4 linked regions of the Macaca fascicularis genome follow. The protein of the gene in region 4 interacts with the protein of the main gene of each other region in a pairwise test. Links are inferred from orthologs where the notes say so. Each region holds a gene or a part of one and is shown on either strand. Other genes may lie near its edges.

The links. The genes of interacting proteins can lie anywhere in the genome.
Region 1: the proteins of STAC3 (region 4) and L3MBTL2 interact in binary tests that used the Homo sapiens proteins (3 or more experiments, as listed by UniProt). The two-hybrid records come from large-scale screens. The link is inferred for Macaca fascicularis from reciprocal best matches to the Homo sapiens genes STAC3 and L3MBTL2.
Region 2: the proteins of STAC3 (region 4) and FAM133A interact in binary tests that used the Homo sapiens proteins (3 or more experiments, as listed by UniProt). The two-hybrid records come from large-scale screens. The link is inferred for Macaca fascicularis from reciprocal best matches to the Homo sapiens genes STAC3 and FAM133A.
Region 3: the proteins of STAC3 (region 4) and PPARA interact in a two-hybrid assay, tested with the Homo sapiens proteins (2 studies listed by BioGRID). The two-hybrid records come from large-scale screens. The link is inferred for Macaca fascicularis from reciprocal best matches to the Homo sapiens genes STAC3 and PPARA.

The regions. Positions count from the first base shown.
Region 1 is NC_088384.1:10,405,288-10,411,804, reverse strand, and holds the start of L3MBTL2 (lethal(3)malignant brain tumor-like protein 2), read left to right. Parts: upstream 1-1,992; 5' UTR 1,993-2,007; coding exon 2,008-2,183; intron 2,184-6,135; coding exon 6,136-6,373; intron 6,374-6,517. UniProt on the Homo sapiens protein: Putative Polycomb group (PcG) protein. PcG proteins maintain the transcriptionally repressive state of genes, probably via a modification of chromatin, rendering it heritably changed in its expressibility.
Region 2 is NC_088395.1:100,195,880-100,202,610, forward strand, and holds the start of FAM133A (protein FAM133A), read left to right. Parts: upstream 1-2,244; 5' UTR 2,245-2,725; intron 2,726-2,952; exon of another isoform or gene 2,953-3,208; intron 3,209-3,615; 5' UTR 3,616-3,688; intron 3,689-6,731. Other genes in the region: NAP1L3 (nucleosome assembly protein 1-like 3), read right to left, coding at 715-2,244.
Region 3 is NC_088384.1:5,401,374-5,408,112, reverse strand, and holds the start of PPARA (peroxisome proliferator-activated receptor alpha), read left to right. Parts: upstream 1-2,214; 5' UTR 2,215-2,434; coding exon 2,435-2,437; intron 2,438-6,739. UniProt on the Homo sapiens protein: Ligand-activated transcription factor. Key regulator of lipid metabolism. Activated by the endogenous ligand 1-palmitoyl-2-oleoyl-sn-glycerol-3-phosphocholine (16:0/18:1-GPC). Activated by oleylethanolamide, a naturally occurring lipid that regulates satiety.
Region 4 is NC_088385.1:64,046,011-64,051,404, reverse strand, and holds part of STAC3 (SH3 and cysteine-rich domain-containing protein 3), read left to right. Parts: intron 1-121; coding exon 122-219; intron 220-734; coding exon 735-807; intron 808-1,702; coding exon 1,703-1,800; intron 1,801-4,325; coding exon 4,326-4,392; intron 4,393-4,571; coding exon 4,572-4,621; intron 4,622-4,914; coding exon 4,915-5,000; intron 5,001-5,170; coding exon 5,171-5,222; intron 5,223-5,311; coding exon 5,312-5,394. UniProt on the Homo sapiens protein: Required for normal excitation-contraction coupling in skeletal muscle and for normal muscle contraction in response to membrane depolarization. Required for normal Ca(2+) release from the sarcplasmic reticulum, which ultimately leads to muscle contraction.

The DNA.
Region 1 (6,517 bases), on a different chromosome or scaffold from region 4:
CGATCTCCTGACCTCGTGATCCGCCCATCTCGGCCTCCCAAAGTGCTGGGATTATAGGCTTGAGCCACCGAGCCCGGCCTAATTTTTGAATTTTTAATAGAGATGGGGTTCACCATCTTGGCCAGGCTGGTTAAGATCTCCTGACCTTGTGATCTTCCCACCTTGACCTCCCAAAGTGCTGGGATTACAGGGGTGAGCCACTGTGCCTGGCCAGGTCTATGAGTTTTAAAGATCACCTGTGTGGATTAAAGGTGAAGATTTAAAAAGGGTGACCATGGGAGGCGGAGGTTGCAATGAGCAGAGATCCCACTGCACTCCAGCCTGGATGACAGAGGGAGACTCCATCTCAATCAACCAATCAATCAATAAAAGAAAGAGGGCAGGGCGCGGTGGCTCATGCCTGCAATCCCAGCACTTTGAGAAGCCAAGACAGGTGGATCACTAGGTCAGGAGATTGAGACCATCCTGGCTAACACGGTGAAACTCCCTCTCTACTAAAAATACAAAAAATTAGCTGGCATGGTGGTGGGCACCTGTAATCTCAGCTACTTGGTAGGCTGAGGCAGGAGAATGGTGTGAACCCGGGAGGTGGAGCTTGCAGTGAGCCGAGATCGTGCCACTGCACTCCAGCCTGGGCAACAGAGCGAGACTCCGTCTCAAAAAAGAAAGAAAGAAAGAAAGAGAGAGAGAGAGGGAGGGAGGGAGGGAGGGAGGGAGGGAGGGAGGAAGGAAAGAAAGGGTGACCACTTGAAGGGCTGCTGAAATGGGCCGGTGGCTTGTATTAGAGTGGTAGTGGAGGAAATACAGGATATATTTTGGAGGTAGAAAAACCAACATGTTGGCAGCATGGATACAGGGGTTTAGGGTGGAAGGGGTTGAAGGAAAGAAAGACATCTAGGAAGAGTTTCACATCTCCATGGTGGACCTCAAATTTAGGCATATGTTTTGTATGTATTCAGCCTCCACATATTGCATTTAGAGTCTCAATTAATTCATTGGGACACAGCATAGCATAGGGAAGGAATTTGTACTAAATTTGGAATCCCTATCCTGTGTGATCTTGGAAAGTGCCTAAACCTGAAGAGCCACCACTTCCTCTTCTTTCAAATGGTGATAGGATGTGTAAGGGTTTGAAAAGATGTTTGCAAAGCTCCACAACAGCACCTAGAACTCAGGGTGTCTAAAGAGGTTGTGGGAAACCCTAACGGGATGAGGCAGAGAGCCTCAGATTCAAGGTTTTTACCCAGGAGGGAGTGGTGCATGAGGAAGGTTGCAAGATTTTGAGGAGGCTGGACACTTACAGCATTGAGAAAAAGAATATTCCAGTTTCAGCTGACGCGGTGGCTCACGCCTGTAATCCCAGCACTTTGGGAGGCTGAGGCGGGTGGATCATGAGGTCAGGAGTTCAAGACCAGCCTGGCCAAGATGGTGAAACCCCATCTCTACTAAGAAATACAAAACTTAGCCGGGCTTGGTGGCGGGCGCCTGTAATCCCAGCTACTTGGGAGGCTGAGGCGCGAGAATCGCTTGAACCCGGAAGGTGGAGGTTGCAGTGAACCAAGATCGCGCCACTGCACTCCAGCCTGGGCGACAGGGCAAGACTTCGTCTCAAGAAAACACACACACACACATACACACACAGTATTCCAGTTTCTTTCTTTTTTTTTCTTCTTTTCAATCTGGAGTATTTCAGTTTCTGCCTGAGTTGGAAATGAGTCCCTCTGCTATGCATCCCAGCAAAAGGACACCTTAAATACCTAACTCGGGAGAGTACGAGGTTATTCCTGGAGTCTGGAACAGTGACTATCATAGGTGCTCAGTAACCGTTTAGTGAATAACATCCCAATGAAGTCAAGAGGTTGGCGTAACTGGAACAGTCGGCGTGAGGCGCACCAGGTTTCCAGCGTTCCTGGTTTCCACGTCACTATGGTAACGTCCCACCCTGCACACCCAAGGCGAACTACAATTACCACAAGCGCCCGCGATTTCCCCGCCCAAAGGGAGAGAATGGCGCGAGCAAGCACGGAACCGGCTTTTCCTCCTTCCTGCAGCGTGATTGGCCCGCGGCTCAGGGAGGCGACCAATGAGTGCTCTCGTGGAGAGCGACGAGGCCAATATGGCTTCCTGCACCTGGTGACGCTTGGCGAAACTGAGGTCTCATGGAGAAGCCCCCGAGTATTGAGGTGAGAAGGAGAGGACTTAGCGTGACTTGGAAGGGGAACCCCGAGATCCTCGCTCCGTGGACCCTTCTTTAGGGCTTTTAGCGACGTCTGGAGGATGGAAGGTGGAAGGATGGATAAACTGAGATAGTTAAACTGAGCCAGGGCCAGAGGCGACTGGCGTTACTTTTTGCTCCTCTCCTGCTGGGGCCAATGTTCGGCGAGTTCAGGGAGGAACAGCCGTCCCTGGCCTGGGGGAAGGGGAACTAGGTTTAGGATGTGAGAGCTCCTGAATCGATTCTTTATCCTCATTGTCTCGTGGCCGTGTTCTTTAGGGCTTGTGAGGCCTGTTACATGAGGTGGGAAGTGAAGGGCGATTAACGTTGGGTGAACATCACTCCTTGTCTGTAACGTTCATGTGCATTATCTTCCAGTACCCTCACAGGAATTATTATTCTTTCGTCTTTGTCGTTCAAGCCACTGAGGCTTAGAGGTGGTGCGACGCCCCAGGAAGTTACCCCGGCTGGAAAGTGAAGGAGGTTGGCTCTAAGTCTGTCCGCCTCCGAAACTATCTGTTATGCTTTTCACATTGTACTGCAACCTGGAACCCACTCATCCCTTTTGTTTTTTCTTTCAGACGGAGTCTTGCTCTGTTGCCCAGGCTAGAGTGCAGTGGCCCGATCGCGGCTCACTGCAACCTCCGTCTCCGGGTTCAAGCAATTCTCCTGTCTCCGCCTCCCATGTAGCTGGGATTACAGGCATGCGCAACCACACCCGGCTAATTTTTATATTTTTAGTAGAGACGAGGTTTCACCATGTTGGTCAGACTGGTTTCGAACTCCTGACCTCAGGTGATCTGACTGCTTCGCCTCGACCTCCCAAAGTGCTGGGATTACAGGCGTGAGCCACTGCACCCCGCCTCATCCTTTAATCATTTGGTTTCTGGGCACTTTATATTTGTTTTAAGAGACGGGGTGTTCCTCTGTTGCCCTGGCTGGAGTGCAGTGGTTACTCACAGGCGTGATGACAACGCACTGCAGCCTCGAACTCTTGGGCGCAAGCAATCCTCACACCTCAACCTCCTAAGTAGCTGGGACTATAGGTGGTCTCTGTCACCCTGCCTGACAAGGGTACCTATATTTGAACTGTTTCCTTTCTAGCATATTTGCATGTATAGTTGCAAATATAAAGTGGAATAGCTCAAACATTCTGCAAGGGTAAAGGAAAATAATAATGTGGAGAATAATAGCATGTCACACTTTTAGAGCTGTTACTGACTGCTGGAAATAGAACTAGGCTTTACATATCTTAATCTTCATAAGAATTATCTAAAGAAAGCTTATTATCTCTCTTGTAATGATGAAGAACTGAGGGTAGCAAGATAAAATACGCACAAAATCACACAGTTAATAAATGTTAGAGCCAGGATTCAAACCTAGGCAAATCATAGTCTATGCTTTCAACCAGTAAAAGTTGGCAACGTTTATTGAGCACTTACTATATGCAAGTCACTATTCTGAGTGCTTTGCCTGTATTGTCTCTTACTTCTCCCCCAAATCCTTTTTTTTTTTTTTTTTTTTGAGACAGAGTTGCTCTCTATCACCCAGGCTGGAGTGCAGTGGTGCAGTCATAGCTCACTGCAGCCTTGACCTCCCTGGCTCAAGAGATCCTCCCACTTCAGCCTCCCTAACCACCACGCCCAGCTAATTTTTTCCAGTTTTTGTAGAGACAGGGTTTCCCTATGTTGCCCAGTCTGGTCTTGAACTCCAGGCTCAAGCAATCCTCCTGCCTCGGCCTCCCAAAGTGCTGCGATTACAGGCATGAGCCACTGTGGCCAGCCCCCAAACCCTGTGAAATAGGTGGTACTATCCTCATTGTACAGATGTGGAAACTGAAACACTGCAAAATTGACTTGCTGCAGGTCACACAGCAAGTAAGCACTAGAGATGGTATTTGAGCTCTTCACACCTTTTTTTTTTTTTCCCTTTGAGACAGCGTCTCCCTCTGTCATCTAGGCTGGAGTGCAATGATGTGACCATGATTCAGTACAGCCTTGACCTCCCAGGCTCAAGCTATCTTCCCACCTCAGCCTTCTGAGTAGCTAGAACTACAGGTGCATACCACCACCACCTGGCTTTTTTTTTTTCTTTTGAGACAGTATCTCACTCTCTTGCCCAGGCTGGATAGCAGTGGCATGGTTATGGCTCACTACCGCCTTCACCTCCCAGGCTCAAGCAATCCTTCCACCTCAGCTCCAAGGAGCTGGGAATACAGGCACATGCCACCACACCTGGCTAATTAATTTATTTTTATTTTTTTGAGACGGAGTCTGGCTGTCGCCCAGGATGGAGTGCAGTGGCACCATCTCGGCTCACTGCAAGCTCCGTCTCCCAGGTTCACGCCATTTTCCTGCCTCAGCCTCCTGAGTAGCTGGGACTACAGGCTCCCACCACCACGCCTGGTTAATTTTTTGTATTTTTTTTTTTTTTTTTTTTGAGACGGAGTCTCGCTGTGTTGCCCAGGCTGGAGTGCAGTGGCCGGATCTCAGCTCACTGCAAGCTCCGCCTCCCGGGTTTTTACGCCATTCTCCTGCCTCAGCCTCCCGAGTAGCCGGGACTACAGGCGCCCGCCACCTCGCCCGGCTAGTTTTTTTTCATATTTTTTAGTAGAGACGGGGTTTCACCGTGTTAGCCAGGATGGTCTCGAACTCCTGACCTCGTGATCCGCCCGTCTCGGCCTCCCAAAGTGCTGGGATTACAGGCTTGAGCCACCGCGCCCAGCTGAGTCAAATATTTTTATTTTATAGATGAGAAAATTGAAGCCCACAGAAGTTAAATGACTTGCTCAAGGCCCTATAGCTAGTTAGGATCAGAGCTGAATCTAGCGCTATAGTACACCCCAAGATGCCACAGTTATCTGTGTGTCATCTGCCTCTCCGATCCTCTTTGGAGCAGTCTGGGTCCCAAATTAACTTTTCTGTGACTTAAACTGTTTCTGAGTTGAGATCATTTTGATGTAATATTGAACACAGAAGACATTTCTTTTTTCTTTTTGAGACAGAGTCACTCTGTCGCGCAGGCTGGAGTACAGTGGTACGATCTTAGCTCACTGCAACCTTCGCCTCCCAGGTTCAAGCAGTTCTCTGCCTCAGCCTTCCAAGTACCTGGGATTACAGGCGCCTGCCACCACACCCGGCCAATTTTTGTATTTTTAGTAGAGACAGGGTTTCACCATCTTGGCCAGGTTGGTCTTGAACTCCTGACCTCGTGATCCACTCGCCTTGGCTTCCCAAAGTACTAGGATTTCAGGTATGGGCCACCATGCCCGGCTAAGAATTAATTTGTAATATATATCTTCTACCCCAGAAAGTCTTTGTAAAGTACCTTAGGATATTTCACTTTTTTTTTTTTTTTTGAGATAGAGTCTCGCTCTGTCACCTAGACTGGAGTGCAGTGGCACAATCTTGGCTCACTGCAGCCTCTGCCTCCTGGGTTTAAGCGATTCTTTGCGCCAGCCTCCCGAGTGACTGGGACTACAGGCACCCACTACCACACCTGGCTCATTTATTTTTTTGTATTTTTTAGTAGAGACAGGGTTTCACCGTCTTGGCCAGGCTGGTCTCGAACTCCTGACCTCAGGTGATCTGCCGGCCTCGGCCTCCCAAAGTGCTAGGATTACAGGCATGAGCCACTGCACCCGGCCCTCATTGTTACACAGTATTCTATTTGAACCATGTTAAAATATCATCATTTGGAAATCCACAGAGGAGCCTGGTGAATTCCTAACACATATTTTCTGTCTTGTTAAGCTGTTGTATTGCATCATGGTGGAGAAATGTGGAAATAGGAGTAATGATCCTGGTATTTGGAAGGTTCCCGGAAGTGTGAGGGGGCTGATAGCAGATCTGCAGCTTCTCCCCCCGTGCACTAAAGCCAACCATAATTCTTTCTACCTGGTTTGTGTCATCCTCCATTAGGAGACCCCGTCTTCAGAACCAATGGAGGAAGAGGAAGATGATGACTTGGAGCTGTTTGGTGGCTATGATAGTTTCCGGAGTTATAACAGCAGTGTGGGCAGTGAGAGCAGCTCCTATCTGGAGGAGTCAAGTGAAGCAGAAAATGAGGATCGGGAAGCAGGGGAACTGCCGACCTCCCCCCTGCATTTGCTCAGCCCTGGGACTCCTCGCTCCTTGGATGGCAGTGGTTCTGAGCCAGGTGCCTTCAGAGTGTCCCCTGAGGATGGAGAGGAGTCAGAAGATTATAGAGGAAGAGGGGGATGGATATAGGCTATATGGGCAGAGCCATCCATATGTAAAAGGCTGTTAACTGTGATTTCTAAGGGATCAGATGTGTAAGGAT
Region 2 (6,731 bases), on a different chromosome or scaffold from region 4:
TTACAATTACACAATATAAGATGAAGAAACTTTTTAAAAAATACTATGTCATATTAACACCTCAGTGGTAAACAGTAACATCATTATCATTAAATTTATAGGCCACTATATGTCACATACACAAGGTCTCAGTTGAATCAAATGTGGTCTTGACATTCTTAAATGTATGCTAATCTTTTTCAAGCAGTCAAACTTCAAAATACACTGTTTTAGTTACTATAAGTACTGGATTTCTATAGCAAACTAATGAAGGCACAGCTAGTGCAAGCAGATTTAAACGCTTAGTCTTCTGGGCTGGAAAAAAGAAAAAAATAAAGCACTTGCATTGGTACTTCATGAACTTTTTTTTTTCAAGCAAATATTTGTTTCAGTTAACAATTGTGACAGTTTCACAGCTACAGTCTAACAGAAACATGACCAAAGGACATCACAAAAATCAACACTGTAGCACCAAACTAACATGCTTTAGATAATTGACCACAGCTTACATATTTTGAAGAATATTATACTACAACAGTCTAGATAGAATAAACTGGCGCTTAGACACTTTTTAGGACAATTTTTAAAATACAGACTACCAAGAAACCACAAAAACATGACTATAAGGAATAAGAGTGTTCAGGTTACAGGTCAGGGTTTTACTTTTTTCAAGGCTGTATGAATCTGCTTCACTTCTTGAGATTTTAAGATTCTTGAAAGATCTTTCAGATTGACTTATTTTCTGTATTTCCTGTTTCCATAATGTTTGCCAAATTGATAGTAGGTACCATTGACTTCTCCAGTATAGTAATAGATTGATTTCAGGATGACATTATCATGTAAAATCTGCCCAATTTCAAAATCCTCATCCAGGATAGCATCTTCTCGTGGTTCCAGCTTCCCAATCATAGGAATCTCAGGAGGACTAAAGAAATTGAAGAATGATGCATTAGGAACCACTCTTGGCTGGATTTCAATTTCTCCAGTAGCAGTTGTGCGACTCTGAGTAGTTGTCACAGTAACATCTTTTCCTCTTCTCCAGTCTATCTTGCAGCCTTTGCAATCTTCAATTTCCCATCCCCAAGAAAAGAAGGGATCATTGTGATCTGGTTTTGACTTTATTATATATGTCTTCACCAGCACCTCATTTCTGAAGTATGGATTGGGTAGAAAATGAAATTCAAAGGTGTAACTTACAGGCTGGCCAGGTTTTGAGAACTTCAGGCTAACATCCGACAAGAACTTCAGAATGGGCTCATCATACTTCTGAATCATAGGCCCGAGCTTGTCAACATTCTTTAAAACAATCAGCCAATAGTCAGGAATGCCTTTAGGGTCTTCTCTTTTAGGCTTTCCCCTCCTAGCTCTTTTAAGATCTACACTGTCCTGAAGCCTTTCCTCAGGAACTCTTTTATGAGCCTCTCTTACTGCAGCCCTTGCCTTAGCCTCTGTTGCTTTAGGCTGTTCTTTATCATCTGCCTTTACCTGGGGGGCTTCTTTAGGATCTTCTTTTACTTCAGGGGTTGCCTCCATACAGTCTGCTTTAGAATCTGCTTTTTCTTCAGCCTTTATCTCAGGGATTTCTTTAGGAACTTCCTTTTCTTCATCTTTTACCTCAGGAATTTCTTTAGGAACTTCCTTCTCTTCAGCTTTCACCTCTGGGTTTTCTTTAGGGGTTTCTTCTTCCTCACCCTCTAAGGGAGGCATTTCACTAGGGGTGTTATCCTGCACCTCCTCATCACTGCTGAACTCCTCATCCTCTGAATTCCATTCACATTCTTCTTCTGTAGGCTCGTATTCTGCATTGATGATTTGAAACCGCCTATCATATAGAGGCTTGTTGAGTTCAGCATATTTTCTTTCAAGATCATGAATTGCTTTTAAGAACAGGGTGTCTACCTTGTCACATTCTTCTTGAATGTTTCTAAGCGCTTGCACACGATTTCTAACTGCCTGAGGCAGCCTATCCACGAAATTTGTTCCCAAGGGGGCCCGCCGCGCCCTGCTGGAAGGCTCAGGTACCCTCTTCTTTCTATATAAGCGGCTGCGGCTGCTAGTGCTGCCGCTGCTGCTGCTGCTGCCGCTGCCGCTGCTGCTGCTGCTGCTGCCGCTACTGCTGCTGCCGCTGCTGCTGCCACTAGTGCTGCTGCTAGAGCTACTGCTGTCAGATTCTTCCCCAGAATCACTAGTCGAGCTAGCCATCTCCTCTTCGGCAACCCCATGGGCGACGGGTTCCGAGACCATTTTAAAATCTGCTTCTGCCATCTTGCAAGCCTGAAAAACTCTACCGCGGAGACCGCGCGACCAGAGATGGGCAGAAAATGACTCACGGATGCTTGAGTGGCGGCGGCGGAGGCCCGGGCTGCGGAGGTGGCAGCGGCGATGGCAGCAGCGGCGCAGAGCGGAGCTGGAGCTGGGGATGCAGAGGCCGGCGCTGAGGTGGCAGCGGCAGTGGAGGCCTGGGCGACAGCGGTGGCGGCAAGGCCTCTCCCGGCTGCAGCTACACAGTGCCGAGATGTACCGCAGCCGAATGGCGCAGTATGAGACCCCGAGATCTCTTCTCGTTTTAGATCGCGAGCCCCCTCCCCTCGCAGTCAGACCTCCCGTTAATTTCGTTCCCAGTGTGCCTTTAGTTCGCTCCTCATTTGCTGGTCCACCTTAATTGACAAACCGTACGCCCAACGAACGGCCAAACGCCACTACTCCTGGCTCCGCCCACCTTCCCAGACGCTGCTCGCCGGCTGAGGTGCGACCCCCTGGAAGGTGTCCCCGAGCCCCCCAAAAAGTCTATATTTATAGTTTTATAATTAAAAGAGGAAAAAAAAGCGTAGACATGAGGTAAAAATACCAGCCATAGTTCCTAACAAGGGCAGAAGAGGCGTGTCTTCCTTCTCCCATCCGCCCATCCTGAATTCCCGTTTAGTTTGTCACGGGTCTCTTGACAAAAATCTGTAAAAGAAAAAAAAAAAAATTGAATGAAAATGGTCCAAATGGCGTCATTGGGTAGTGTGACTGTGGACGATTTAAAAACAAAACGATTTTCTCTAAATATTCTATGAGCAGTATTTTTACACTGGATAAAAAAGGGGAGAGTCGGTTATTGGCAGAGGGGGGAGGGACTAGACAGCAGGCGTATTGCATTCCACGAAGCTGATTTAATAAGTGCTGTCTGTGATGTTTGGCAAGCCTGGTTTATATCCATCTACAAGGTTTGCGAACCCATGTTGCCGTGAGTCAGTTACACCATTTTTATTATATTTCTCTTTTTAGGCTGGCATATTATATACCCCAACCTTGCTGCTAACTTGCCACGTAGCCCTTCTCAATGCTTGCAACAACCTTGTAGATAAAACAAAGAGTGTATTAAATGTTAGGTAGTATTGTTAAAAAGCAAATGATTTGCGTTATACTTTTGTGCAGCAGGTTTCAATTCCAAGAACAGTGGGATGGGAGGGGGAATTTGTGCTAATGAATGTGCATCTTCTGTCAGTGTATGCGATGTCATCTGCCACCAATTTCCTTCTAATGTTGTAAAATTCTAGCCATACTATAGTATGATTTACAAGTCCAGTAATATGTGAATAAACTTTTGCAAAATGAAGTTTAAAAACGGGTATTTGTTATTTTTATTTACAGGATTTTTTTTTTCTGCTACAGAACAACTACCTTGGTACAATAAAAAAGACGAGTATTTACTTTTCATTGAAAGGTAAGGATCATATTTAGCACATTTTAAAGAATGACAAAAATTACTCATCTCCATCTGAATAAAAGTTTACAGGATGCAGTCATTTAGAGATTTATTTTAGATAATAATCTTGATAATTCTATGGAAACAGGAAAATCCACAGAGGTAATTTGGCATACTAATGTAGACAATAGCCTACTTAACCACATTAACTATCTTAACCTGGTCATAGAATACAAGTTGTAAATTAAAATATGAAATATGATAAATTATTCATTTCAAATGAGGAACTGTATTAAAGTTAGATTAATCTTTATAGAATTTGTGCTTTGTCATGTAGTCACGTTTTTAAAAGTTATGAAATGCTTTTCTGTCTCATAAATGCATTTACTTTTATTGCATATCTCTAATTGTCAAAGTCTGTGAACATTGCAAAGATAAAACCTCAATACAGAAAATTCCAACAGTAGTAAAAACACACAATCTTAACCACCAAATGATAAGAATTACTAGCATTTTGATGCACTTCCTTCTAGAAATTTCCTTGTGCATATACATACCTGCCTATTTATGTATACTGCTTTATCTATGTGATACCATATTATGTTTTGTAGTCTTTTCATTTAATTTATCAGTTACTAATGGCTATATTTTCATGGCAAATGATCAACATCTTATTTTTAAATAAGTGCATATTCCATGGAAATAATTGCCTTAATTTATTTGAACAGATTCCTCTTATAGGGTGGCTATTTCTATACCATCTCTCCCCTTATATACATACTATTTTCCTGCTATAATAAAAGTGTCCCTGGATACCTAAAGCATATATTTCTATGCACTTCTGAAAATTGGTCATAAGATAAATTCCTAGAAATGAATGGCCTGGGAATGATCATTTCATATTATGGAATTATTATTGTATACATATTGCCAAACTCTCTGCAGAATGATTATCACAATTTACAGTTCCAACAGTGCATAAAGGTTCATTTTTTTTGTCATTCAGCTAATATATTTTTGTGCCTGTCGTATGCTGGGCAAATGTGGTAGAGAATTGTAGTATAATGGTGAATGAAACTTACTAAGTGCATATCCTTTCGATGAATAATTTTAATCAAAGCATATGTTATAGAAACAATGATTTACATCAATGGTGTTATACCATAAATATTGTTCTGAGACTCACTATTTCTTTTTAAATTATGGAGATTTTACAAAAAGTATGCTCTTATGTTTTAAACTTTGTAGCATCAGGAATTAGTATTTTAGAGTGAGTCATGAGGTAGGGATCCAGATTTTTAAAATACTTATTTTTATTAGCTAGCTAATTCTTCTAGTACCATTTATTTGGTAATCTTTCTATCTCCTGCTTACTTGAAATGCTACTTTGATCACATTAAATAAATTGCTTGGGTCTGTTTCTAAATTATTTTCTGATCCATTAGTTGCAAACAACTAATGAGTCGGTGTTAAGATAACTTTACATTTTGTGAAAATGATATGTGTTCATTGATAAAGTCAGACAATACATTGAAATACAAAGAAGAAATTAAAAGTAACTCAAAATAAAACTGAGAAGTAATCACTACTTACATTTACATTTGTAATCAACATCTCCAAATTAATTTATCAATATTAGTATTTGTATTTCTTAGATTAGTGGTAAGATTGTGTTTTCATATGTTTATGTTTATTTGAGAACTGTCTATTCATATTTTTTGTTTTCTACTGAATTAAGCAAGAAGTTAATCAATGGTGAAATCCTAAAGGTAAAATGATTTTGGCCTTGACTTACTTAAGACAACTATGATTTCTTCAGGAAATAATGCATGATATTGGGCAAATGTGACTAAATTTCATATTAAAATTGGTTGGGTTTTTTTTGGGGGGATGCTTGGGGGTTTTTTTGGATGCTTTTCAAGGATTACGGATAACTACTTAACCACTCACACTGATCCTGGAAAAGTTTGGAATGGAACATGGAGATGAAAAATAGAAAAAAGCTTACAAAAACATCATATAAAAATAATGTATTAATCAACAATTGTGATTTTCAATTTGGAATTATTTTTTCCTAGATATAGGCAATGAAAATGTTGAAAGTAGATGATTTTTTCTAATCACAATTCTCTACTTTAATTGTGTATCCATAAGTATCTTGTAACACACTTTTATTTTTGTAGCTTTTTTTTGGTTGATTAGTTTATTTAATTTTATGTAGTAGGTATCTAAAATAAAATAAGCTTTTTCTTCATAATCAATTTAATTGCTGCATTATATCCTATTTGTTCTACTGTGAAATGTACATATTAGTTTTATCATATCATATACTTATTTTTCTTAATAAGGTTATATATAAATTATTTGCATAGTGATATGTTCTTTGTTCAATTACTAGATGATTTTTTTGTGGGAGGGCGGCTAAATGTTAATGCTTCTACATGAGATGATACATAACACAGAATCTGATAGTATACTCAGACTGAACATAGTACATTAACATCTGTTGATACCTCCCTTAATATGAATATACACACAATCCCTTCCACCACCCACTCCTGCCACACAAACACACAAAGTGTATAATGACACGTGTAGCAGCATTATCTTTTTTTGTAGGTATCTAAGAAGCGAAGCATTGCAAGTTCATTTATTTTTGAATGACTCTTCCTCCTGTTCTTCTTGGACAAGTTTTATCTGAATATACAAGTTAATTCTTTTTAAAAAACCATTTTATTGATGTATAATAGGCACACAACAAATGTGTCTATCTGTGAAAGTATCACCACAGACAAAATAATGAAAATTGTATCATCCCTGAAAGTTTCCTCATATGCCTTTGAATCCCTCCTCTTGTCCCTAGACAATAGCTAATCTGTTTTCTGTTCCTATAGATGAATTTGCATTTTCTAAAATTTTATATAAGTGGAATAATGTAGTATGTTCCTCTTTTTGCCTGTCTTTGCAGAATTATTTTGAAATTTACCCATGTGGTTGTGTGTATCAGGAGTTTACTTTTCCTGTTTACTGCCGAGTAATTATTCATTACTTGGCAATACTA
Region 3 (6,739 bases), on a different chromosome or scaffold from region 4:
CATTTTCCCTCATCTCTAAACTTTACTAAAGACTCCAACAGAGAGTTATATTCACTGAGAGGAGCATCTACTCAACACAGATAAACTGGGAAGGAAAAACAACAACTTGTGGGTAATTCAGAATCTGGATTATCCTGTCAGGCGCAATGGTTCATGCCTGTGGTCCCAGCACTTTGGGGGGCCAAGGAGGGCAGATCACTTGAGTTCATGAGTTTGAGACCAGCCTGGGCAACACAGTGAAACCCTGTCTATACAAAAAATAGAAAAATTAGCTGGGCGTGGTAGTGTGTGCCTGTAGTCCCAGTTACCCAGGAGGCTGAGGTGGGAGGATCACCTGAGCCTGGGAGGTCAATATTGCATTGAGCTGTGATTGCACCACGGCCCTCCAGCCTGAGTGAAAGAGTGAAACCCTGTCTCAAAAAAAAAAAAAAAAAAAAAAAAGCTAAATTATCAAATGTCTAGATCACTGATGGTTGGATGTAAAGTTGAGAAATGTGAGAAATGTTCACACTGGGAGATGACACACAGTAAACCACACAGAGGATTATAACGTGGTAGTTAGAAGCAGAAACTAGAGGCTTGCTGCCTGAGGTCAAAACCTGGTTCCAGTGGTTCTGTGCCCCAGGGCATGTTGTGGTAACCTGTCTGTGCTTCAGTTTTCTCATCTGTAAAGTAAACATAATGGTAATGCCTGCCTCATGGGGTTGCTGTTACCAGGAAGTGAGTTAATGCGCATTAGGTGCTTATTTATGACAGTTCCTGGCATATGATAAGGGCTCAAAAAGTGTTAGCTGGCACCACTATCATTATCAATATCTCTAATTTATTGCAGGGTTGGATCTGAAAAATGGCTGATGATGATTTGATGATGACTTCCTTGTTATAAACCAATAATATTGCAGTGCAAATTAAATACAAGCAACCTGTAACACACCACTGCAAGTTGGATGTCTAGAAAAGGTGCCATGAGTTACCTACTAAAACATCATAAGAAACCATGTTCACCAATAATTACCACAATAGGAGAGAAGTACCGAGTACCATGGGGAGACAGAGTCCAGAATCTCAGAGAGAGACACAGTTACCTTTTAGTTACACTAATGGGGAAAGCAGGAGCTTTGCTACCCTTGCACCTGATGGAGGGCCTCTCTGAATATCGGTCTATGGGGTCAGAAGCCAGTTTCCTCTCAGATTTAGAAGGTTTCCAACTGTTGTCTTTCACTTCCCATGTTGCTGTTGGGAAATCCAAAAGTATTCTATTCGGCTAGGCACGGTGGCTCTCACCTGTAATCTCAGCAATTTGGGAGGCCGAGGCAGGTGGGTTACCTGAGGTCAGGAGTTTGAGACCAGCCTGGCCAATATGGTGAAACCCCTTCTCTACAAAAAATACAAAAATTAGCCAGGTGTGGTGGTGCATGCCTGTAGTCCCAGCTACTGGGGAGGCTGAGGCATGAGAATTGCTTGAACCTGAGAGGCGGAGGTTGCAATGAGCTGAGATTATGTCACCGTACTCCAGCCTAAGTGACAGCAAGACTCCATCTCAAAAAAAAAAAAAAAAAAAAAGTTTTCTATTGGATCCTTTGTGTGCAACATGTTTTTCCCTCTCAGAAAGCTTGTAGGATCTTCTCTTTGTCTCCAGCATCGTCTGGAATTTCCCAGTGAGTGACCATCTGTGTGTGTGTATTCATTCATTCTGTTGAGCCCCTGGTGGGCCCTTGCAACCTGGAAATTCATGCCCATCGTTTCTGAGAAATTATCTTGAATGCATTGGTTGGTGGTTTCCCCTGCTCCGTGTTCTTGCTTCCTGCTCTTTGGAGCTCTTGTTACTTGGATGAGTTTGCCTCCTGGACTGGTCCTCTCTTACTTCTCTTGCTTCTCCCATGTTCCATTTGTTTTCACTCTACTTTCTGTGAGATCGGGGCCATTATCTTCCAACCCTTCTATTAGGTTTGCAATTGGTTTTGTAATCCCCTAGAAAAGTTCTTGTTCTCTGAATGTCTCTTTTGATAGCATACTGTTCCTTTTTCATGAGTGCAGTATGAGTACATGAGTCATGAGTACATGAGTCATGAGTACATGACTCTCATCAGAGCGTGCTAATGTCTCCCATTTCTCGTAACTTTCTAGAGTGAGGACCATTTGAACTTGGAGTGCCCTCATTTTAAAACTCTGTGGTTGACCCTGTTCCCCTCTTTTGTTGCTGCTTTTCACCAGACTTTGAAGAAGCCGAAGTACGTTCAGAACTTGTCTGCTCTGGCAAAAGACGATACTGTTGGCTTAATCTAAAAACTGAACAAGAAAGCTCAAGGAGAGAGGTTTAAAAATATACCATCTCTGGCCAGGCGCGGTGGCTCACATCTGTAATTCCGGCACTTTGGGAGGCTGAGGCGGGTGGATCACCTGAGGTCAGCAGTTCAAGACCAGCCTAACCAACATGGTAAAACCCCGTCTCTACTAAAAATACAAAAATCAGCCAGGTATGGTGGTGGCTGCCTGTAATGCCAGCTACTTGGGAGGCTGAGGCAGGAGAATCACTTGAACCCAGGAGGCAGAGGTTGCAGTAAGCTGAGATCATGCCACTACACTACAGCCTGGGCAACAAAGTGTGTCTCCGTCTCACAAAAAAAAAAAAAAAAAAAAAAGTATATCTATCTATCTATCTATCTATCTATCTATCTATCTATCTATCTCCATCTCTTATTCCTGAAACCATAAAACAAAACTAACCTTCAGCATATAGGACTATTGCAGAAGGGATTATCTTTCTACTTGGTTGGTTCCTCTTGGTCTTGAGGAAATTTTGACTTCCTTGAGTTGGTCCCTAGAAGTTAAAGGGAAAGGGCCTTTTCTCTTTCCTTTAAAACCAATGTGGCATATTTGTTGAGAATTTAGATACCACAGGATTGACAGTGTAGACTTACATTCGTAGACCGGATGCCATCGACCAACCTTGAATAATTTGCAGCACATTGCATCATTTTGTTTTAAGTAATACGAAGTCCTTGACATGTCCCAGACATTGTCTTGATTACTTGTGAGGTCTCACATAAGTCTAATTTTCCCCTTCCTCTGCGCTTTCTGGTTCAGCTCAATTTATTCAAGGGTGTATTTGTGTAACACACTTGAATAAGGTGTGGTCCTGCCTTTGTAGATGTTATAGTTTAAGAAGACCAGCTGGACAGGGAGAAGAGTGTGATTCAAGGATGAAGGCGTGGGCTGGGGGCTGGGAGAGCAAGGAGGGAGGAAGGAGCAGCACCATGTGCCCATTACTCTATAGACATCTCGAACCACCTGGCCATGTAGCTGTCATTAACCTTAGTTTACAGTTATTGAAACTGAGGTTCAGCCGGGTGTAGTGGCTCACGCCTGAACCCAGGAGGTGGAGGTTTCAGTGAGCCGAGATCACGCCACTGCACTCCAGGGTAGGCGAGAGAGCAAGACTCTGTCTCAAAAAAAAAAAAAAAAAAAAAAAAAGAAAGAAAGAAAAAAAAAGAAAAAAGAAAGAAACTGAGGTTCAAAGAAATGTACAGTGCTTTCCCCCTTATCCAAGGAGGATACATTCTAAGTCCCCACAGTGGATACCTGAAGCCTCAGATAGTATCAAACCCTATATATGCTATGTTTTTCCCTATATATGCATACCTATGATAAAGTTAATCTATAAATTAGGCACAGTAGGAGACTAACAACAATGATAATAAAATAGAACAATTATAACATACACTGTAACAAAAGGGTATCTTCCTCTCTCTCTCTCAGAATATCTTATTGTACTGTACTGGGGGTAACTAAAACCAAGGAAAGTGAAATCATGGATAAGGGATATCTACTGTATATGCTGGAGTTTTCAAGGTCATAGCACTGCCTTCCCCCGAGGTTGGCCTTGCAGCCTCTCTAGGCACTGCTGCTGCTGCTGCTGCTAAGAACTCCTATGAGGTGAACACTGTGAGCATCATCATTGCTTCTCAGCAGAAAAGACCCGGCTTACAGAGGCCAAGCCTTAGGTACCTTAAACACCTGTTTAAAGCTGAACTCATGGCCAGGTGCAGTGGCTCATGCCTGTAATCCCTTCTCTCCAAGCTCAAAACCTGCCCTCCTTCTCTTTATATTCCGAATTTCGTAGGTACCACCTCCTCTGCCCAGTGACCCAAGCCAGAGCATACATTCATCCTAGACTCTGTCCCAGGTCCCTGGTCCAGGCAGCTGCCAGTTGTCAGGGTCAGCTCTTCATCTCGCAGTCCTCCTGCCTCTTGTGTCAGTCCCCAGGGCTGTCATCATCTCTTATTGGGACAGTTACAACAGCCCCGTAAGGAGTTTTGCTGCTTCTAATCTTGTTCCCTTTGAGTCTGGATTCCTCCTTGCCATCCAGACAATCCTGATGCAAATCTGATCACGTCACACTTCCCCTCAATAGTTTTCCGTGGCTCCTCATTGTTTTAGGATGAAATTGAAACTCCTAAACATGGGGATTAACAGCGCACCATGATTGGCACTGCTGGCCTCTCCTACCTCTGCAGACTCACCTCTTGCCACTTCTCCCTTGAGGTGGATCAAAAATGATCACAAGTTCTTTGAGGCTCTTCCCATCAAGAGGTAGAGTTTGTTTCCCCACCCCTTGGATCTGGGCTTGCCTTGTGACTTGCTTTGACTCAGAGAATGTAACAGAAAGGACACTGCCTAACTTACAAATGAGGTCTACCTTAAGAGACCTTGCAGATTCCACATTCACCCTCTTGGAATGCTGCCACCATCTGAGAAGCCTGAGGTGGCCTCTGTGAGGATGAAAGACTTCACGGTGAGAAGTGCCTAACCAGCAGCCTGGCACCAGCCACCAGGCATATGGCTGAGGCCATCCAGCCATAGCTGAGCCACCAAATGACCACAGCTATGTGAATTATCCCAGGTCAGACCAGCAGAAGAGCCACCTGGCTGAGCTCAGCCGAATTTGCTGACCCACAGAATTGTGAACAAATAAAATGGTTGTAGTTATAAGCCATTAAGTTTCAGAGTTTGTTACACAGTAACATGTAACTGATATAACTCTTGGAGCCAGTTGTCCAGCCATTTTCAACCACTTATTCAATGATGTTTGGGGTCATATATGCAGATGTGCTGTTCCCTTTTCCTTGAAATGGTCGTTTCTCTCCTTTCTGTTGGGTTTTCCTATGGAATATCTAGTCAGCCTTTAGGATTCATCTTGGGTGTCCCTTCCTGTATGTAGGCTCCCTGGCCCTCCAGGATTCCCCTAGTAACAGCCCTCATCACGCTGCCTTTGCAACCATTTGCTTATTTGTACCTCTCACCTACTAGTTGGGCAAGTTACTCACCTCTGTCAACCTCTGCATTTTTCTTCTCTATAAATGGGACCAATAATACCTACCCTGCCCTGGCATGGATAGATTAAAGAAAAAAAAATACATGCAGCTGCCATTGAGGGCCTGGCCCAAGTGCGATGTTCAATAATATTATTTCTCCTTGTTTTCTTTCCTGTGCCAGTGCCACACCCCCCTGTCCCCATGCACTGGGGCTTGCATCCCTCAAAGCTAAGATTGCCTGTCTGTGGTCTCCAGTGTTAAGCACAGTCGTTAGCTCAGGTGCGTGCTCATGTGTTGCATGAAGTTCAAGCCTCAACCCTATAAAGTTGGCCTGCCATGTATCTGATATATTTCTGCTAAAACCCATTAGGCCTTCCTTGTTCTGAAATGTCATCGTTAGTTGTGTGTCACTTCAGTTTTGTAACTGGACAGGCCACTGCGTCCGGGCTGCTTCCTCGTCATCTGGCTGCTAAATGTTTCAACCTTACCCGCCTTGCTGTGTGTCCCATCCTGTATCAGGTTAGCGCTCTTGAGTGGTGAATACGAATTTCATTTTAGTTGACTTTTTATTCTTGTGGCAGGCCTCTCGGCTTACTCAAATTTGATTGCAACAGACACAAAATGTGTCCAAACTTGCAGCTTTTCTTCTCTTATTTTGATATCACCATCCACAAAGGTAAGATATTTTAAAACAACTACAAACTTTCTGAAAATTATAATGAAGTGCTGGGTTTTAAATGGAAGTCATGTAGTGTGAACTTCGTGTAAAGTCTGTAGGGAGTTTTCTTGGAAATGACTGGGAATATTCTTTTTGCACCTTTGAAGATAAAGGTGGAGGAGCTCACAGCTCTTGTGCCATGTTGGGCTTGTCACTCTTTTTTACGTGCCAAATTCCTTTGATTACAAAATTTTAAGTTTAATGCTTTAGGTATTGTTGGGCAATATCTAGATGTGTCTAGTTAAATGTAGGTGATATGCAAACTCTTTATGATGCATTTGATTTAAATTCATTAAGATAGAATGTCTTTACCACCGTTATAGCCTGGGCCTTTTCCTTCTGTTTTAAATGTGTTTCCGTAGGCATTTTCTATACTGACTTTGTTAACGTGTTAATCACTGGGCACTGATAATGATTAATCTATTTCTTTCTTTCTTTTTCTTTTTTTTTTTTTTTTGAGACAGAGTTTTGCTCTGTCACCAGGCTGGAGTGTAGTGGCACAATCTCAGCTCACTGCAACCTCTGCCTCCCGGGTTCAAGCGATTCTCCTGCCTCAGCCTCCCAAGTAGCTAAGTACTACAGGCACATGCCACCACACCCAGCTAATTTTTGTATTTTTAATAGAGATGGGGTTTCACCTTGTTGGCCAGGATGGTCTCAATCCCTTGACCTTGTGATCCGCCCGCTCAGCCTCCCAAAGTGCTGG
Region 4 (5,394 bases):
TGCTGTTAGACATTGAGCAAGTAAGGTCCCAGACAGAAAAGGGAACCTAAGAGTAGCAGCAGTGGTACAAAGGGAAAGGGCAATCTGGAATCTTATCTGAATTTTCTCCCCCTCTCCCAAGTCAACAACAAGTTTGGGCTTCGCTGTAAGAACTGCAAAACCAACATCCATGAACACTGTCAGTCCTATGTGGAAATGCAGAGATGCTTCGGCAAGATCGTGAGTAGGCTCTGGGGAACAAGGTGTAGAAAAGAGGTGACATGGCCGGGCACAGTGGCTCACACCTGTAATCCCAGCACTTTGGGAGGCCGAGGCAGGCGGATCACGAGGTCAGGAGATGGAGACCATCCTGGTTAACACAGTGAAACCCTGTCTCTACTAAAAAATACAAAAAATTAGCCAGACGTGGTGGCGGGCACCTGTAGTCCCAGCTACTCGGGAGGCTGAGGCAGGAGAATGGTGTGAACCCGGGAGGCGGAGCTTGCAGTGAGCTGAGATTGCACCACTGCACTCCAGCCTGGGCGACAGAGCGAGACTCCATCTCAAAAAAAAAAGAAAGGAGGAGACATGTCACCAGCTACCCCTTGCTGGTCCCTCCTCCATCCCATTCATTTCTCTGCTTTTTCTTTCTCAGCCCATCTCTTTTTCTGAGAAAGGGTGAGCACTCATGGGAGAGATGGGCTTCTGGACCTTACTTTGCTACCTCTAATGCTTCCTCCCATCCCATCCTACAGCCGCCTGGTTTCCGTCGGGCCTATAGTTCCCCACTCTACAGCAACCAGCAGTACGCTTGTATCAAAGATCTCTGTAAGTGCCCTTTATGGAACATGAGGGAATGGGCAAGCCTAGAGATGGTTTCATGCCATCTCTAGCTTTGGAAGCCAAATTCTGAAACAGAAACTTTCTATTTCCCATAATTCTCCCTCAACCTAACATTTTTATATCCATTTGGATGCAGAGGCAATATCCCCATTTTACAGCAGAGGGAGATAAGATTTAGTTGCAACTACATACAGTTAGCAAGAGGTAGCGCCAAGACTGGAATCTTCAGTTGCTAGCTTCAGAATCTGTGCTCTTCATGTGCAAAATCATTTCTAAGCAAGAACAAGGATTCTAGATTGTCCTCATCCTTACTACAGAGTCATACCAGACTTGGGGCAAGACCCAAAGGCTGCAGGCACCCTGGGCATGTTCATAATTTGGCAACCCTTAAAAGTATATTCATTGACAAATTTGCTCAACATTTATTTGGAGCAGAGGCTGAACTCTGTGAAGAGCATGGGTGAAAAAGAAGAACCTATTGGTGGCAGCACCTCAGCTTACACATGCCATTCAGCAGAACAAAAACCAGAAGTTAAGGGCCCATTCTCCTTAGAAGGAGAATAGTGATTCTGAGCATGTCTCAACTCCCAAGCAACCAAAGTTGTCTTTCAAACGTCATATAATGCTCTGCCTGGAAGGAGTTCTGATAAATACTTTTCTCCCTCACATTACATCACCAGTGATGTTTTTAGAGTCCTTTCTAGATCGGTGTCCTAGGTATTGCTCAGCTGACCCTTCCCTAATCTTCCCCCACGGCGCCCCCACTGCCACCCAGCACACACATGGGTATCCATCTACTCGATCCTGCCTTTCGCTTCCTTTCCTCCAAGCCTTTCTCTGCCTCCCCAATAATGTCTTCTTTCTCCTCCAATTTGATTAGCTGCTGCCAATCGCAATGACCCTGTGTTTGAAACCCTGCGCACTGGGGTGATCATGGCAAACAAGGAACGGAAGAAGGGACAGGCAGATAAAAAAAATGTGAGCACTGTACCTCCCCACGAGGTCCCTCCCAGAGATCCCATGGAGCAGGTCATTTTCCCATTTGGGAAGCTGACAGAAGTAATGGATTATCTTCCCCTAAAATTGCACATAACCCGACCAGGCATGGTGGCTCATGCCTGTAATCCCAGCACTTTGGAAGGCCAGGGCGGGTGGATCATGAAGCCAGGAGATCAAGACCATCCTGGCCAACATGGTGAAACCTCGTCTTTACTAAAAATACAAAAATTAGCCAGGCATGGTTGTGTGTAATCCCAGCTACTCGGGAGGCTGAGGCAAGAGAATCACTTGAACCCAGGAGGCGGAGGTTGCAGTGAGCTGAAATCACACCACTGCACTCTAGCCTGGGTGACAGAGCAAGACTCCATCTCAAAAAAAAAAAAAAAAAAAGGCCGGGTGAGGTGGCTCATGCCTGTAATCCCAGCACTTTGGGAGGCCAAGGCGGGTGGATTACCTGAGGTCAGGAGTTTGAGACCAGCCTGGCCAACATGGTGAAACCCCGTCTCCACTAAAAATACAAAAATTAGCCAGGTGTGGTAGCACACGCCTGTAATCCCAGCTACTTGGGAGGCTGAGGCAGGAGAATTGCTTGAGCCCAGGAGGCGGAGGTTGCAGTGAGCCGAGATCGTGCCACTGCACGCCAGCCTAGCCGACAGAGTGAGATTCTGTCTTAAAAAAAAAAAAAAGAAAAGAAAAAGAAAAAAAAAATTGCACATAACCCAACAGAAATATTTTTGCATGCAATTTTAGGGGGTTTTGGGACCTACTGCAGCTCACTCACCATGGGCCTCTGGTTAAGAACTCTAGCCATAGATTACGTTTTCTCAGCTTCCTTCTGAAATAGTCAGATTAGCCACTACAACCACATGAAGGCTAGGCCCAAAGTCTTTGGCATTGCTGGGTGACAGAGGCAAGAGCTGTGCTTTTGGATGTAGGAAAGAGAACTTGTCATGCCAAGTAACTGGAGAATTCTAGAGCCATGCAAGGATCCATGAAGATCATCTGGTCTGACCCATTCATTTTACAGATGATGAAACTGAGGCACAAAGCTACTGGCCAAGATAAACCTCATTTCCTTTTGTAACAGGGTTTCTAGGTTAGTAATGCCATAGATTTGCATTCAGTTCAGCATGGAATTTGTTAGAATATTCTTATATCTTTCTGGACAACCAGGATTGGACCAGTATGGATGATGGTTACAGTTAGATGGACTCCTAAAATTGGTTGAGTGGCAGTACTCAGAGTCCAGGTCCTTTCAGTATTATACAGCTAGAGGGAGATTTCTGGTGCGTTATAACATGATTTAGATATAATGAAGATACAAATTGTATGTTCATGCCAGGTGCGGTGGCTCACGCCTGTAATCCCAACACTTTGGGACGCCAAGGTGGGCAGATTACTTGAGGTCAGGAGTTCGAAACCTGCCTGGCCAACATGGTGAAACCCTGTCTCTACTGAAAACACACACACACACACACACTATATATATATATATATATATCTCCAGGGCGTGGTGGCACTCACTTATAATCCCAGCTACTTGGGAGGCTGAGGCAGGAGAATCGCTTGAACCCGGGAGGCAGAGGTTGCAGTGAGCCACTGCACTTCACACTTCAGCCTGAGGGAGAAAGCAAGATCTTGTCTCAAAAAAAAAAAAAAAAAAAGAAAAGAAAAGATAAATGTACATATTTGTTCTTGATCAAAAAATCACCTGCAAAAAACAGAACTAGAAATCTGGCCTCAGACTTGTTGATATGGAGGTTGGGCACAGATAAGGGATTTCTATGGAGTGAATTCTGACTTACAAGGCACTAGCAGTGTGATTTGGCTGCTTCCAGAAGGGCTAACATACTCTTGGGTTATATTCTTTTAAGGGAATTATAAAAATTGTGCTGCTCTTTTTTTTTTTTTTTTTTTTTTTGACGGAGTTTCGCTGTTGTTGCCCAGGCTGGAGTGCAATGGCATGATCTTGGCTCACCACAAACTCCGCCTCCCAGAGTCAAGTAATTATCCTGCCTCAACCTCCCAAGTAGCTGGGATTACAGGCATGCGCCACCACGCCTGGCTAATCTTGTATTTTTAGTAGAGAGGAGGTTTCTCCATGTTGGTCAGGCTGGTCTCGAACTCCCGACCTCAGGTGATCCGCCCACCTCAGCCTCCCAAAGTGCTGGGATTACAGGTGTAAGCCACCGCGCCTGGCCATGCTGCTCATTTTTTACTTACACACTGGAGTATTTTTAAAGGCTGACAGCATAGTCAAGGACCTGGAATCTGGTAGTGAATTCCCTGTCATTTAGCTACATTCAAGCAGAATGTGGGTGACCCACCTGATAGGATGTTTTAGAGAAAGTTCGTGCATTAAGCAGAGGGCTGGGCTAGATATTTCCTCCAAGGCCTCTTCCAACCCTGAGATCCCATTACTCTGTAGTTCTCTGACCTGATTATAGAGAGCCAGGGCATGGGTTCCCAAGACAGCGTCTCCCTAACTCTGGTGCCCCCTCCAGCCTCTAGCAGCCATGATGGAGGAGGAGCCAGAGTCGGCCAGACCAGAGGAAGGCAAACCCCAGGATGGTGAGTGTCACCCACCTCCATCCAGAGATGGAGTAGGATTAGAGGCTCAGCTGTGGCACAGAGGGTGGAGGAGCAAAGGGCAGGCCAGCTTTGGATAGATGAGGCCTTTCCACAGAAGGGTAAGAGAATAAGAATTGACCTCCAGGAGACAGACAATTTGTTGGTGTTTCCTATCCCAGGAAACCCTGAAGGGGATAAGAAGGCTGAGAAGAAGACACCTGATGACAAGGTAAGAATCTTTCCTCCCTGCAAGGACCCCAGTCCTCTCCCCAACCCAGCTCTGACACCACCACTCATGGCCCTGGCGGAAGCTCACTCTTTAACTCCTAGGCTTCCCATCACCCTTGACCTACTCTCTCCATCACCTTGCACACCCACCCACAACCAAAACACTTCTCTCAGTTCGGGGACCTAGAAGAGAGTTGGAGTGTAGAGTGTGTGGTGAATGTCCCTGCCTTGGAATCCTGCCCCTCAGTGTGGGGTAGAGGAGCCCTAAGACTCATCATTCCCTTTCACCCCCAGCACAAGCAGCCTGGCTTCCAGCAGTCTCATTACTTTGTGGCTCTCTATCGGTTCAAAGCCCTGGAGAAGGACGATCTGGATTTCCCGTGAGAGGCCTTGGGGCAGGGGGCTGGTACTGTGGAGTGAAGAGGAAAGAGCTGGGTTCCCCCAAGGGAAAGGAAAAAGGGGGACTCAGGGCTTGGAGCCTATTGATGCTGGACCAGGGGCACAGAAGGGGACCTGCTATGTGAGTGAGGCCTCTCTTTTCCCCTCTCAGGCCAGGAGAGAAGATCACAGTCATTGATGACTCCAATGAAGAATGGTGGCGGGTGAGAAAAATGGCTAGGGCTAGGATGGAGTGTGGGTTGAGTCACGAACCCGACATTGAGAGATGGACTCTCCCTACTATCTTCCCTAGGGGAAAATCGGGGAGAAGGTCGGATTTTTCCCTCCAAACTTCATCATTCGGGTCCGGGCTGGAGAACGTGTGCACCGCGTGAC